2 linked regions of the Drosophila melanogaster genome follow. The protein of the gene in region 1 purifies or fractionates together with the protein of each later gene. This does not show direct contact. Each region holds a gene or a part of one and is shown on either strand. Other genes may lie near its edges.

Evidence for each region. The genes of interacting proteins can lie anywhere in the genome.
Region 2: the proteins of Tip60 (region 1) and pont purify together in Drosophila melanogaster (affinity purification with western blotting; one study listed by BioGRID). This does not show direct contact.

What each region holds. Positions count from the first base shown.
Region 1 is NC_004354.4:4,112,553-4,120,487, reverse strand, and holds Tip60 (Tat interactive protein 60kDa), read left to right. Parts: upstream 1-3,000; 5' UTR 3,001-3,635; coding exon 3,636-3,695; intron 3,696-3,762; coding exon 3,763-3,889; intron 3,890-3,943; coding exon 3,944-5,168; coding exon of another isoform or gene 5,169-5,178; exon of another isoform or gene 5,179-5,191; intron 5,192-5,273; coding exon 5,274-5,486; intron 5,487-5,558; coding exon 5,559-5,559; 3' UTR 5,560-5,688; downstream 5,689-7,935. Other genes in the region: tyf (twenty-four), read right to left, coding at 64-192, 1,471-2,070; dgt4 (dim gamma-tubulin 4), read right to left, coding at 5,694-6,260; Nsun2 (NOP2-Sun domain family, member 2), read left to right, coding at 6,884-6,943, 7,021-7,935.
Region 2 is NT_033777.3:10,258,646-10,265,947, forward strand, and holds pont (pontin), read left to right. Parts: upstream 1-3,477; 5' UTR 3,478-3,697; coding exon 3,698-4,514; intron 4,515-4,571; coding exon 4,572-4,770; intron 4,771-4,831; coding exon 4,832-5,186; 3' UTR 5,187-5,254; downstream 5,255-7,302. UniProt on the Drosophila melanogaster protein: Acts as a transcriptional coactivator in Wg signaling caused by altered arm signaling. Pont and rept interfere antagonistically with nuclear arm signaling function, and are required to enhance or reduce arm activity, respectively.

The DNA.
Region 1 (7,935 bases):
GACGTGAAGCAGAAATATTTATACACACATATATATGTTGCACATACATGAGCCAAAACTTACCAGAAATCGCTCGCTCTTGTTCTTCCTGTCGCCAGGATTTCGATACCAGTAGGCCTCTTCGAGAAGTTTCTTCAATGATGCGTCGTCCAGATCATTAAAATCGCTATCTTCCCAGGTATCGTATTTTGTCTGCAAAAGCGTCGAAGAACAATATTTGGCAATTAGTTTTGCAATTTTTCGGGTCATCAACACGAACACATATGCGTGTAAAACAATAATCGCTGCGACTTAACCTAAAAAAAAAAAAACAAAAGAATTCGGAGCTCCACTTATTCCAAACACATGCCCTTCTGAGTTCCTTATGCGAACTGATGAAGTACCGACCGCAGAGCAATAGAAGTATTAAATGGCACACGGTTCCAGTAAGTAAACGCTCTACATACGCACACACATGTGTACTATATGGTGTTGCACACGAACACAAGAAAACAGAAAAAAAAAAAAAAAACAATAACTGAAATAATAACGGGAATAGGCGAGAAGTTTTCGTGGTTAATGCCGCGGATGTCACCAATGCTTTTATAAGATAAACAAACGCTTTGCGGTTTTATCCGTTCCTTCTGCCCGATTCGGGGTCTTGATTTCAATAATTATCGAAGGCGCTGGTCAAAAAACCGACTGCGATCAGAAATTGAAGTTCCTGTGTGGCGATTACTTGATGGGACCAAATGTAACGGCACTATTTCGAAAGCCACAATCCCAGTCAGTCAGAACGAGATAACAGTATGCTTGGTCTATTTCTACATCATTTTCGAATTCTTTGCCATTAACTTCGTAAACGGTACTTTGGCTTCTATTCGCATACATATATGTATGTATGTGAGTATGTATTCATTAGGGGGATGCAATTTGACTGTCAATATTTATTTTTTTTTTAATAAAATTCGGTTTTCGATAAAACAGTGTTTGTGAGTGAGTAATCGGCTCACTTAAAGTTTTTTCCAAAGGTCATGTTTTAAGGGGATTTCGGCATTTTCATTTTCGACAACTTTAATGGACCGCAAGCGTAAGAATCTATTTTAGTTTATAGCTTAGTGTGCAAATAAACAATATTTATATCTAATTTATGTATACCTTGGTTTTGGTGGTAACGTAAAGATCGGACAACTTGCTGTCCAATACTGGAATTCCACCCAAAATCGAAATTAGTTTCAAATTTTACGTTTACTTAGTTGTTTCTCAACTTAGTCGCCCTGGTAGAGCTCTATTCAAGCCTGGCCATGCATAAGATATGGAGTCCAAACACCATAGAGCTTTGGAGCCTCCAGAACGTACACAAATGTGAAATTTTGCGAGTAACAAACATAACTATACCTTTTTCTTAATAAAACAATATCTTAACTCGGTTTCTGCTTAACATGCACTATATTTCCACCTTAAGATGCAACTCAGCCAGAGCGCACTTACCTTTTTCTTCTTCTGTCGCTTGCCGACATTCTGATCGTCCTGGGTCTTGCCCTTGGCAGTGGCTCCGTACTGGAGTACCCTGCGGTTTGGTCGCGACAGTTCAGCGCTGGGCGAATCCTTTAGCATGGCAAAGACCTGCGAGAAGGACGTATCTCCTGCTGCTGCTTCTGCTGCGGATCCTTTGGCAGCGTCTGCCGTGGCTGCGTGGTTACCAGAGCTATGGCTATTACTAGGGGATGATGACTTCTTGGGGTCATTGCCTCTGCTGCTACTGCCGCTGGTGGCTACATGGTTGGCAGCCACTGGTGCCGCTCCTTGGCTGTCCTCGTCTTTGGCCCCCTGGTTCCTACAGGCCTCGTCAAGCTGCGCGTCTGCCTTCGCCACATGGTCTGACATCATGGTCATAAGCTGCTCCTGTGGGAACGGCGTCGGCGTTGTTTTGGTGACGGTGGTCGTCGTGGTGCTCTCGCTCATCGTGCCAGCGGCAATCGAGACGATGGGCGTGTCCGGTATGATCGTTGGCAGTTTGGCAGCTGCTCCACCAGATGCCACACGATCCGCCGGTGTGTCCGATGATGACGGCGTTTGTTCATTGTTCATCTTCTTTCGTTTGGTGGCATGCAACGAAGGAGAAAAACAAATGCCATTCGAATTCCTCGAATCTGTTAGGGCGTGTGAGAAGAGGGGAATGTTTGTTTTAGTAAACGGGTATATCTCGCATTCCCATTAACTGCTTACAAACTGTTTCTTCTCTTCGCGATGTTTCTAGGTAGCCCAGCTGCCCAGCCGCCGTGTGGTTGCCACCGCGACTGCAAGTGCTCTGCAGGCTGTTCCGCCGATTCCTAACGATTCCTCTCGACTTCCAGACGGTTTGAGGCACAGGGGAGCCCACCTATTGCGCATCAGTTTGGACTCCTGCTGCACTTGACAGGCCTGTCGTCAGTAGCTCTCCTCCGGCTCAAACCTTTGCTCGCGGCATTTACGTAGGTTCCTGGGCACGGGGATGCGGATTGCTCGCAAACAGACCGGAATACGGAAATGTGTGCGCACGGATCTGCAATTGATTGGGAAATGGGGATGAAGTTGAGACTAAAACTGAAACTGAGACATTGGACCACTGACTGGGTGTTTTGCAGCATTTGTTGTTGTTCTGGTCATGCGGACGAGCGACAAGGGGCGGTGGGTGGTAGCAGGTGCGTCTGTTTAGTCTTTGGCGACCCCTTGCGGCCCACTGACTTCGAATTTCTTTAAAAAGCACTGGTCTCTTTCCATATTCATTTTTTTTATTTTTTTTTTTTTTTGGCTAAAAAGCAGTGTTGCTAACTACGCTGCGTGCCAGGGTTGACAAATGCTGTTTGTTGTTTGTAGGGGCAAGCCGTTGAGATTGCTAAATCGGCGTTTGCTCTAGGCTTGCATCTTACTAATCAACACGAGATTGCCTGCCCGTTTTGCAACTAATTAGTGGGATATGCCCATCGAGTTGGCAGCCCTGCGGCTGTTGTCAGTGGCAACACTATCGCAAAACACGTCATTTTGACACAGCTTTTTCACCAATTTCCCGCTCAGCTCGTCAGCATTGGGGCACTGCGGCACAGTTGCCCAGCAGTTGTGGTCACAATTACCCAGTAACTGAAGTTTTCCGCGGATCACAGTAGTCATTTATTGATAAATACGCCAGTCGATGACAGCTGTATAACTTTCTGCGCACTCACACGAGCGCACACGAATGTACGCACCCACACACACGCACACAAATTTACGCCTGTGTACATTTCTCTGACCTTCTCAGCGTTTTTATTTTTTGGTTTGGCAACTGAAAAGAAGGGAGCACATAACTGCGCACTCAAGTTCTAGCAACTGCAATTGAGTCGAACGGTTGTGCTTAATATGTTACAGTTGTTTGTAAGCGGGCGAAATTGTTTAATTGCACAGTAGGCACATGAGAAAAAATACCGAACCCGAATTGAAAAACTCTCTGGAATTGTTGTTGTGTTGTGCAGCACTTTGAAAAGGCGACGCGACGCTGCGCAGCACTGCCCATGTCATCAACATTTTTAAACCGCTGATTCACTGTGGCGGTAATCGATTGGTCGATAGTTATTTACGTTTCGCTATCTGGCAATACTGCTGTTTTAGGAAAAAAAAAACGCGTAAAATATAAACAAATGAAAATTAACCACAAATATGAGTTCGACGACGATGTGGCCTCCATATGCGAGTCAACGGTGGGTTCCGCTACGCCTTGGCGTGTTTTGGGTGTTCATTCTAATGGTTTTAACCGCAAACTTGCAGGCCGCCCTAACCGAGGGATGTCGTTTACCCGTCAGGATGCACAAAACGGACGACTGGCCACTAGCGGAGATTGTGAGCATCAAGGAGTTGGATGGGCGCCGGCAGTTTTACGTGCACTATGTGGACTGTGAGTACCAAGTCGTCCAGTGGGAGCATATTTAGTATAACTGCCAATCCGCAGTCAACAAGCGCTTGGACGAGTGGGTCAACGAGGAGGATCTGTACACGCGAAAGGTGCAATTTCCGCGGAGAGACGGCTCACAAACAGGCACCAGCACTGGAGTGACCACGCCACAGCGCCACCATTCCCTAGCGGGCAGCGTTTCTCGGCCTACATCACCGCAACACCCTGGTTCCGGGGCTCTGGCAGCCATCCCCCAGACTCCTACTGGTGCATCAGGCAGTGTTCCTCCCCCTGCTGGCATTCCAAACTCTGTGGCTCCACCCGGAACACCAAGCAGTGGGGGAGAGCTTGTGAATGGCAACAATCTGGCCGCAGCCCTTCAGAAACGCATCAATCGCAAGCGAAAAAACCACGGAGGCTCGGCCCATGGACACCACAGTCTGACCAGTCAACAGCAGCAGTCACATCCGCATCCTACAACTCCGCAGACACCCACGGCTACGCCCGTGCATGTGACCGGCGACGGTTTAATAAGCGGAGCGGCCAATGATGATGGTGATGGATCGCAGGATGGCAAGACGCCCACGCCGAGGCAATCAGGCAGCATGGTTACGCACCAGGACGACGTGGTCACCCGCATGAAGAACGTGGAGATGATCGAGCTGGGCAGGCATCGCATTAAGCCCTGGTATTTCTCACCCTATCCGCAAGAGCTGTGTCAAATGCCCTGCATCTACATCTGCGAGTTCTGCCTGAAGTACAGGAAGAGCAGGAAGTGCCTGGAGAGGCACCTGTCCAAGTGCAATCTTAGGCATCCACCGGGAAACGAGATCTATCGCAAACATACAATTTCCTTCTTTGAAATCGATGGACGCAAAAACAAGGTGTATGCCCAGAACTTGTGCCTGCTTGCCAAACTCTTTCTCGACCACAAGACACTCTACTATGATACCGATCCGTTTCTCTTCTACGTAATGACAGAGTTCGACTCGCGCGGCTTCCACATAGTAGGGTACTTCTCCAAGGAGAAGGAGAGCACAGAGGACTACAACGTGGCCTGCATTCTCACAATGCCTCCGTATCAGCGCAAGGGCTACGGCAAGCTGCTCATTGAGTTCAGCTACGAGTTGTCCAAGTTCGAGGGCAAGACGGGATCGCCGGAGAAACCATTGTCTGATCTGGGTTTGCTGTCCTATCGATCGTACTGGGCGCAAACCATACTGGAGATCTTTATCAGCCAAAACCCGAGCACGGACGGCGAAAAGCCCACTATAACTATAAAGTATGGCTAGTTCTAAGCTTAAAGTAATACAATTTTCAATCCACAGAGATTGTGCTTCATTGCCGAAACATAGATTAATCATGCTCCCAAAATTTTTCTTCACAGCGACATCTGCGAATGCACATCCATCAAAAAAGAGGACGTGATCTCAACGCTGCAGAACCTGAACCTGATCAACTACTACAAGGGCCAGTACATCGTGTGCATCAACCGGGTTATCATCGAGCAACACCGGCGAGCAATGGACAAGCGCAAGATCCGCATCGACTCGAAATGCCTGCACTGGACACCCAAAGACTGGTCCAAGCGCTCCAAATGGTAATCTCCTCATCTTCTCCGTATAAATAACTGAGTTTAAACAGCTTTGAATCCGTTTTTTTTTGTTTTTAGATTTCCGCTACCAATATTCTTCATCGGATGATCCTGGCTTCGTTGTAGCTTGTAGTTTTCATTTACAGTTTCCGTTTTTAATGTTATAAACTAGTTTATATCATACAATATTATATATACTTTTGAGACGACCGGCTAGTTGTTTGTTTCCCGCGGTGGGAGAAGATCCTCCACAAGGCGGTCCATTGCCTGTATCATGCCCATCTCCATACCATTCTCCAATCCATCGACGGCGGTACGCAAACTTCTTAGAGCTTCTTGGTTCTGGGCGAACTCCCGTTGTTGCCGGCATAGATTTAGGCGCGGTTTGTGGGTGGTGTTCAGATGTTCCAGGCACTGCTTCACATCGTTGGAGTCCAGAATGGCGGGACGCAGATCACTGCCCAGTTTGGATCGCAAACTAGCGATATCCTTGGCCGCCTGGTCGACTTGATTCACATCAGATACACGATGGGCATCCACGGCCGCCTGCAGGGCTCCGCACTTCAGGAGCCTCGCCAGCCGCCCAAAGTCCCGCTGATACTCACACTTGGCGTCCAGCCAAATGCGTACTTGCTCCTCCACCTGGCGCTTTACATTGCGGCTGTCTTCCTGAAAACGGCGCATCGCCTCCAGGTGCAGCAGGTATTGGATGTCGTCCATGGTGCCCTCAGTTGTCAATGATGGCGGTGTGGTCGTGGTGGGAGTGGGTGGAGTTTCCATAGTGGCTTACAAAAACTTCTTAGTTTTTAAAGTGGGAAATTCGGATTCGATTGCCGACGCTATCGCTTTCGCAGCTGCTATCGGTAGCATTTGAAGTCGGCTAACGGAGATTTTTGTAACGATAGGCGCGTAGCTATGTTCGAGTCAAATTTGGCTATTAATAACTATATAAAAAAAAAATGAAAATAATTCGAAAATGTAAATAACAACAAGATATGTAGGTTTCCTTACATAAACTAACAGGTTTTTAAAGTTTCTAGAAAACTGAAATAAGTTGTTTGATTTTGCTTACCGATAGTTGGGAAACCAGCTCTTATTGATTTTGGGGCTAAAAATGTAAGCCATGCAAATGAAGTTAACGTTTAAAAACAAGTCAATTCCTTGCAGCACGGAAACCAAGTACTGTAAAAAGTAATTCCCTTTCAATTCAATTTCACTTCTTTAGCAGCATATTTCACCTTCCCTTCCAAGCACCAAATGTCCGGCGACTCTCGCGCGACAGCGTTGCCAGTTAGGCGACGAACACGTTTTAACTATTCGTTTCGTTTAGAAAACACACAACGCTTGCCTAATTTTTTTTAAACATATTCAGTGGACTGATAACTTGGTATTGATATTGACAAATGGGTCGAAACCAGAAGCAAAATTTTTTCGCGGCTCGCAAACGTCAAAAGCGGGAGAATGTGAGTCACCTCAATTTGAAAGGAGAAACATTCCACGTTTTTGGATTTTATTCTTAAATATATTTTTTATCTTAAAGGGTCCCAAGCGCACCGATCGTCAGGCCCAGCCGTATGAGGAGATCAAAAGGGATAATGCCTTCTTCATCAAGTACTACCAACTGCAGAAGATCTGCGCCACCGATGAGGAGTGGACGCAGTTCCTTGCTTCCATCAGGGACAATCTGCCCACTACTTTCCGTGTGACAGGATTCAAGGACGAGGCCAAAGCCCTGCTATCCATTATTGAGACGCAGCTATTCACCGAGTATGTGAGGGCGGTGGCCGAGCTGCACCAGAAGGCGCCCGAGGATGTGGAACGTCCGCTGTGCCTGCCGTGGTATCCAAACGGACTGGCCTACCAGCTGCACCTTACCCGCAAGGACATTCGACGCTCGGAGCCGCTCTACCGGCTGCACAACTTCCTAATTGTGGAGACCACGGCGGGCGGCATCAGCAGGCAGGAGGCCGTATCCATGATCCCGCCAATTGTCCTGGATGTCCGACCCACGGACAAAGTTTTGGACATGTGTGCTGCGCCAGGTTCGAAGACAGCCCAGCTCATTGAGGCTCTGCACGCTGCTCCCGAGGAGCACAAGATTCCGCCCGGCTTTGTGCTGGCCAACGATGTAGACAACAATCGGTGCTACATGCTGGTTCACCAAGCCAAGCGTCTAAACTCGCCCTGCCTGTTGGTGACCAACCACGACAGCAGTGTCTTTCCCAATCTCGTGACCACGAAGCCGGACGGCTCAAAGGCGATCCTTAAGTTCGATAAGATCTTGTGCGATGTACCTTGCTCCGGCGACGGCACACTGCGCAAGAATCCAGACATTTGGCTGAAGTGGAACCTGGCACAGGCCTACAACCTCCACGGCATTCAATACCGCATCGTACGTCGTGGCGCTGAGATGCTGGAGGTTGGCGGAAGGCTGGTGTACTCCACCTGCTCACTG
Region 2 (7,302 bases), on another chromosome or scaffold:
ATCTCATAACGAAGTCAAAAATGCACACCTCCCTCGTCACTCTTGATTTTTCAAGAGCCTTCGATCGAGTAGGTGTGCACTCCATAATCCAGCAATTGCAGGAATGGAAAACGGGTCCCAAAATAATAAAATACATTAAAAACTTCATGAGCAACAGAAAAATAACTGTCCGCGTCGGTCCGCATACATCAAGCCCGTTACCCCTATTCAACGGAATCCCCCAAGGTTCACCCATATCCGTAATACTTTTCCTCATAGCATTCAACAAATTATCCAACATCATATCCCTACATAAAGAAATTAAATTCAACGCATATGCCGACGACTTCTTCCTTATAATAAATTTCAACAAAAACACAAATACAAATTTCAACTTAGACAATCTATTCGACGATATAGAAAATTGGTGCTCCTACTCAGGGGCATCGCTTTCCCTATCCAAATGTCAACACCTCCACATATGCAGAAAACGTCACTGCACATGCAAGATAAGCTGCAACAACTTCCAAATTCCTAGCGTTACGTCCTTAAAAATTCTAGGAATAACCTTAAACAACAAATACAAATGGAACACACACATAAACCTACTTCTACCCAAACTACACAACAAGCTAAATATAATAAAATGCCTATCTAGTCTTAAATTTAACTGCAACACGCATACACTACTTAATGTCGCAAAAGCAACAATTATAGCCAAACTAGAGTATGGTTTGTTTCTGTACGGCCATGCTCCCAAAAGCATTTTAAACAAAATAAAAACACCGTTTAACTCCGCTATCCGTCTAGCTCTCGGCGCATATCGCTCTACCCCAATAAATAACTTACTTTACGAATCGAATACTCCCCCCTTAGAAATGAAACGAGACCTTCAAATAGCCAAACTATCCCAAAACCTAATCCTCTCCAAAAACACACCAATACATAAGTTCTTAAAGCCTAAAAAAGCTAATAAAAAAAAAAACATCAACAATAGACCGAACAATCAAACTTAGCCTAGAACTTAATCTACCCTACAAACCAATAAAACTCCATAAAAACAAACCACCATGGACCCTCCCCAATCTAATAGACACGTCACTTAGAATCCATAAGAAAGAACAAACATCTCCAGACCAATACAGAAAATTATACGAACACACAAAGAATAACCTCAAAACACACAATTTCATATTCACTGACGGTTCAAAAATTAATTACACAATATCATTCGCCATTACAACGGAGACAGACGTCTTGAAATACGGCATACTGCCCCCATATTCATCCGTCCTCACCTCCGAAACAATCGCCATCCTAGAAGCAATAGAACTTACTAAAAACCGAAGAGGCAAATTTATTATCTGCTCCGACTCCCTATCAGCAGTAGATTCAATTCAAAACACAAATAATAACAGCTTTTACCCAAGCAGAATACGATCGCTAATAACGCAACACGCACCTAAAATTAAAATAATGTGGATTCCTGGCCATTCAGGAATAAAAGGAAATGAATTAGCCGATCAAGCTGCAAAATCAGCAAGCAGTATGCCACTTATCCTCACCCCAAACATAAATACCACAGATATAAAAAAACACCTTAAAGCCGACCTTGCGACAAAACAGAAAGAACACATAATAAACTGCAGTCCATGGTACCAATCTATTAACACGAACACCTCACACCCATGCGATTACCTTAAACAATCCCACCCAAATTGGACCAGACTCGACCAAATAAAAATAATACGACTTCGACTAGGACACACAAACATAACCCACCAACACTACCTAAATCCCAATTCAATACCAACTTGCCCGTTTTGCCAAGGTGATATTTCTTTAAACCACATATTTAACTCATGCCCATCCCTCCTACAAACCAAACAAGATATATTTAACAACACCAACCCTCTAGACCTTCTTAGCAAACCCAATCCAGATAACATACAAAAACTCATACTTTTCCTCAAAAAAACTAAATTATACCACAAAATCTAAAAACAAAACAGGCATTTGTACATAACAAGCCAGCAATTAGTTACCAAATTAGATATTAACTAAATTAAGATATAATAACATTGTAAATAAATATAGCTGTAAGCCCCGTAGCTAATGCTATACTATCTAAGTTAGTCTAGTTTTGTAAACTATTCTATCTATCATAATAAATAATAAATAAAATAAACATACTTTTTATATTGTCTGTGAAAGGTATTTACATTGCTTGTGGGTATTGTCCACTCCATTGGCTTGGACTGCTTTGTAGGATCGGAAGCCTCCGAATATTCGGGTATCTCAACACCCAATAGTTTACAAACTTTGGACAAAACCACATCCACATAACTGGATATGATTAAGTTAGCCTTTTTGTCATGTTTTGTGGGCTGCAGATTACAAATGACAAATTTTCCACCGCATTTTAGATTCTTTAAAGGAAGGTCTCCGCTGGGAACGATCTGCAAAGTGGTTCCAAGCGCAATATTTAGGTCAGCGACGGTGGAGTGCATCACACCCATTTCGAGGTCGTTTTCGGGAAGATCGTGCTCCCAGTCCAGAACGTTATCGTATAGGATTCCCGATCTACAGCTACGACCTTTGCTATCCATTGAAGACTTGCAGGCACGTTGCAGGGATTTTTGACCCACTGTTTCCACGGCAGATGGGCTCACAAATTGCCGTCTGCATTTCTTACACTGTTCGATGTAAATGTTGCCGTGCAATTCGGAAAGATACTTCCGATCCAGTCCGGATTTCAAGTGGAGACCATCAATATTCTGTGAGATTACGTACTGCACATAGCCACTTTCAATCAGGGCTATGATAGCCATGTGGGTTTTAGTTGGTCTGGCTTCATCGAAGGAAACATTGAAGTCCGGCTTCTCGCCCTTCTCCTCCAGGGTCCAAACGCCCTTGGGTCCGCGGAAATCCGGAATTCCTGCAGACGTACTGATCCCAGCTCCCGTGTGGAGGACAACGTGTCCCGATTTCTTGATCAATTCAGCCAATTCCTGGCACTTTTCGGCCACAACCTCATCGCTGTCGAAACTCTCTGGTGCTCCCAAAATTCCCTTGTTGTCGTAGGCTGACAATCCATCCGCGTAGTTGCAGCTCATGGTTTGATAAAAGTTTGATCTACTTCAAAAGCGACTATTATGTCTTTTTGGTATTAATTTGTTTATATTTTGTACGGCTAAATGAGTCCATCGAGATTTTATTGTTTATAATATGACCGTATCCGTAACGCTACAAAATACTTTAAAACGTGCCAAGTGAAATTACACTGGTCATTAAAAAAAAGTATAAGGTGTAATATAATTTGCAGCTTGGTAAAAACTAAATAAATCTCAAATATCTTAGCTTACCTTGATTAAATATAAATGTAAAGTATTAACTCAAAATATTTGTTATTATATTTAAAACATTTATTATAAATTATTTTATTTTCTACCATGTGGTTCAGTGTACCAAGCAACATGCTTGGATTTCCAACTCGCACGGTCACACTGTAAACAACGGCTGCGGAAACAAAGTGTGCTTCTAATTTCCAATCAAAACGCCGGCAGAAAAACAAATTTTATCCACGGCAACGAAACAATAGTTTGTTTGATCGTTGCAACGCTTGACTTCACATTTCCTCTCCCTCGGGCGAAAAACAGCTGAAACCGGAAACGGATCAGAGTATTAGCATCAGGCAGGACACGGATTTAGAGGCGCCATGAAGATCGAGGAAGTCAAGAGCACCGTGCGCACCCAACGCATCGCAGCCCACAGCCATGTGAAGGGATTGGGCCTGGACGAGGTTGGAGCTGCCGTGCACAGTGCAGCCGGACTGGTGGGTCAGAAGGCGGCACGCGAGGCAGCCGGCATTGTGGTGGACCTCATCAAATCGAAAAAGATGGCCGGACGAGCGCTTCTGCTGGCTGGGCCACCAGGCACGGGCAAAACCGCCATTGCTCTGGCCATTGCCCAGGAGCTGGGTAACAAAGTGCCCTTCTGTCCCATGGTCGGATCGGAGGTATTCAGCAATGAGATCAAGAAGACCGAGGTGCTAATGGAGAATTTCCGGCGCTCCATTGGTCTGCGCATTCGTGAGACCAAAGAGGTGTACGAGGGCGAGGTTACGGAACTCACGCCCGTGGAAACCGAGAATCCTATGGGTGGCTATGGCAAGACTATCAGCAATGTCGTCATCGGCTTGAAAACAGCCAAGGGAACCAAGCAGCTCAAGCTGGATCCCAGCATCTTTGATGCCTTGCAAAAGGAAAAGGTGGAGGTGGGCGATGTCATCTACATAGAGGCCAACAGTGGTGCCGTAAAGCGTCAGGGTCGCAGTGACACCTTTGCCACTGAGTTTGATCTCGAAACCGAGGAGTATGTGCCGCTGCCCAAGGGCGATGTCCACAAGAAGAAGGAGGTTATCCAGGATGTTACTCTGCACGATCTGGATGTGGCCAATGCTCGTCCACAGGGCGGCCAGGATGTGCTCTCCATGATGGGCCAGCTTATGAAGCCGAAGAAAACTGAAATCACTGGTTAGTTGTGTAATTTTCTTCCCATTCAAATTTACTAAAATACCATTTGATGAGCAGACAAACTACGCATGGAGATCAACAAGGTGGTAAACAAGTACATTGACCAGGGCATAGCCGAGCTGGTTCCCGGAGTTCTCTTCATCGATGAAATTCACATGCTTGATTTGGAGACCTTCACCTACCTACACAAGTCCCTGGAATCTCCCATTGCACCAATTGTGATTTTTGCCACCAATCGTGGACGCTGTGTTATTCGGTTAGAAATACTTAGCTCGTAAAACCTATTCGCATTATTAATAAGAGTTACCTCTTTCCAGTGGCACCACCGACATAGTTTCGCCGCACGGAATTCCGCTAGATCTGCTCGATCGTTTGCTGATCATCCGCACACTACTCTACTCCACTGCCGACATGGAGCAGATAATCAAGTTGCGCGCCCAGACCGAGGGACTGCAGCTGGAGGAGAACGCATTTACACGTCTCAGCGAGATTGGAACCAGCTCCACGCTGCGCTACGCCGTCCAGCTGCTGACCCCGGCTCATCAGATGTGCAAGGTGAACGGACGCAACCAGATCAGCAAGGATGATATCGAGGATGTGCACTCGCTCTTCCTTGACGCCAAGCGCTCCTCGAAGCATTTGTCCGAAAAGAACAATAAGTTTATGTTGTAAGTTTGACGATTCAAGCTGAATTGTAATTCCATTTGCACGGATTTCCCAGTAAAAATCAAATAATAAGCAATTTAATTTATTGTAATGATGTGGTAATTTGAAAACATTCAAATGATCATTTCAATGGCGCTTCAAACATCGACAAGAAAAGTGTGTACACACTTCAACTGAAAGTAAATCGGAAATTTTTGGTTGGTGTCTTAGCTAGATTAGGGCGAATCGTGAATTTCTTTCAACGGTTTTTTTAATTGATACGTAGATAAGCATATTTAAACGAACTCGGAGGACTAACCATTTTCTTTTTATAATTCGGTTGTTTGATTGTAATTATTTTGTCTTTCGTTTTCCGCTTAATCTTCCATATTTGCTGCTTGTGATCGCAGCGATATGGCAACTTCCACTCGCGCCACCCTCATTTTCCCACCATGCGACATCAGCTGCTCGCGTTGTTTGGCCAAGAATTCCAATTGGTGGTGAGTTCAGTTACTCAACGAGCGTCGAGCTGCGCACTGCCCCAAAATAAATAGCCAGGGAGCTCCGCTGAAGTGCATGCAGTGAATAGTATATTTAACGATTCGATTCGCGGCGTGGGCGTCTTCTTCTTTTTCGGCCCGTTCCCCTCGCGTCTTGCATCTTGCCTCTCGCTCGCTCCAACAACGCCGGCAACTGCACTTGGCGTGCGTGTGTGTGTGTAAGTGTGAGTGCGTTTGTGGTTTTCCGAAAGAATGTGAAATCATAATAAAAGTCGCGATTTGTTGTTGCTATTCCGCGCAATTAGCCACTATTTAACGCACATGTGTGTGTTTCGAGCTTATTTGTGTGTGAACAAAGCCAGGCAACCCGTTTTGGCGGAAATAAATGCAATCCTGATGGCAGGATCAAGGTAAAATGGAAACATTTGGGATCTATTGCATGAATGAACCAATGTTGAAGAAGCAGCACAAGCAGCAGCAGCAACAACAACACAGCGGCAGCTAGGAGAGCGAAAGAGAGCGAAGGCAAACAAACGAAAATACAATAATAAAAAAGAAGGAAAAACAACAAAAGGTAAGTGCGTGTAATGCGTGTACGTGTGTGTGTGTGTATGGGTCTGGAGGCCGCACCTCCCAATCAGAAAATTAGTGCTGTGTGGGTGCGCGTCACACTTATTTGTACTTATTTTTTCCGGCTTTAACTGTTATTATTATTTAAGTAGCACGAACGAGAGAATTACATAATTTCGGTATTTTTTTTGTGTCTCTCTTTTGAGACTCCGAATAGAAAGCGAAAGTATTCTTATGGGAACACACTAGCGTGTGCGTGTGTGTTTGTTTTATTTATGAATGGTGATTATGAGACTTGATAATTAATTGCCAGCATGCGTTGTGATTTGATTTCTGTGCGTACACCAGTTGAGCGGCTGTCTGTCTCTTTTGCACCCACAGCTGGTCATAAATCAAATAAGAATTTCACGCCACACAAATGAAAAGCAACAAACAAAAGAGACGAAGCGATGAACTCCCTCGCGCTCTGATCAGAACGGGAAGAAGAAGCAGCCGCATTTGCAGCTGCGCCGAGCGATCATTTTCGCATACTTCTTTCTTAATTTGTTTTTGCCGAGCCATTTTTAATGTGAAAATCTTGCGGGCGAAAATTGGTCGCCGCAGTTGGCCAAAAACATAACGCATAAACAACACATTTTATGGGACGCCGGTGGCGGCGCACTTACACAAGAAGAAATTTATCAATTTAAATTAAAAGACTTTATTTTGGTATAAATCATATTCGTTAAGTATGTATAGTTAATATTAAGTATTTTATTATAATATCGTTGTAAAATGTGCTTACTTAAATATTTGCTTTCAAAAATTAATTTTTTTCCGTGGAGCGAATTCGCCCACCATCCAGTATCTCTTTCTCACTTATGCTCTCTCTCACTTACTCCTGCTCACGCGATCGTTGCCAAATTTCAATCCACGCCCGCTGTTTTTGGCCCTACACTGCGGAAGATCCGTTAACTGGTTCGAGTCTGATTGGCTTTTATGTAATTTAGTAACACAGTGGTGTTTCGATACGGTGAACGGAGTACAACAAAATGTATTATCATTTTATTAATACGAAACGTTTAGATATATGT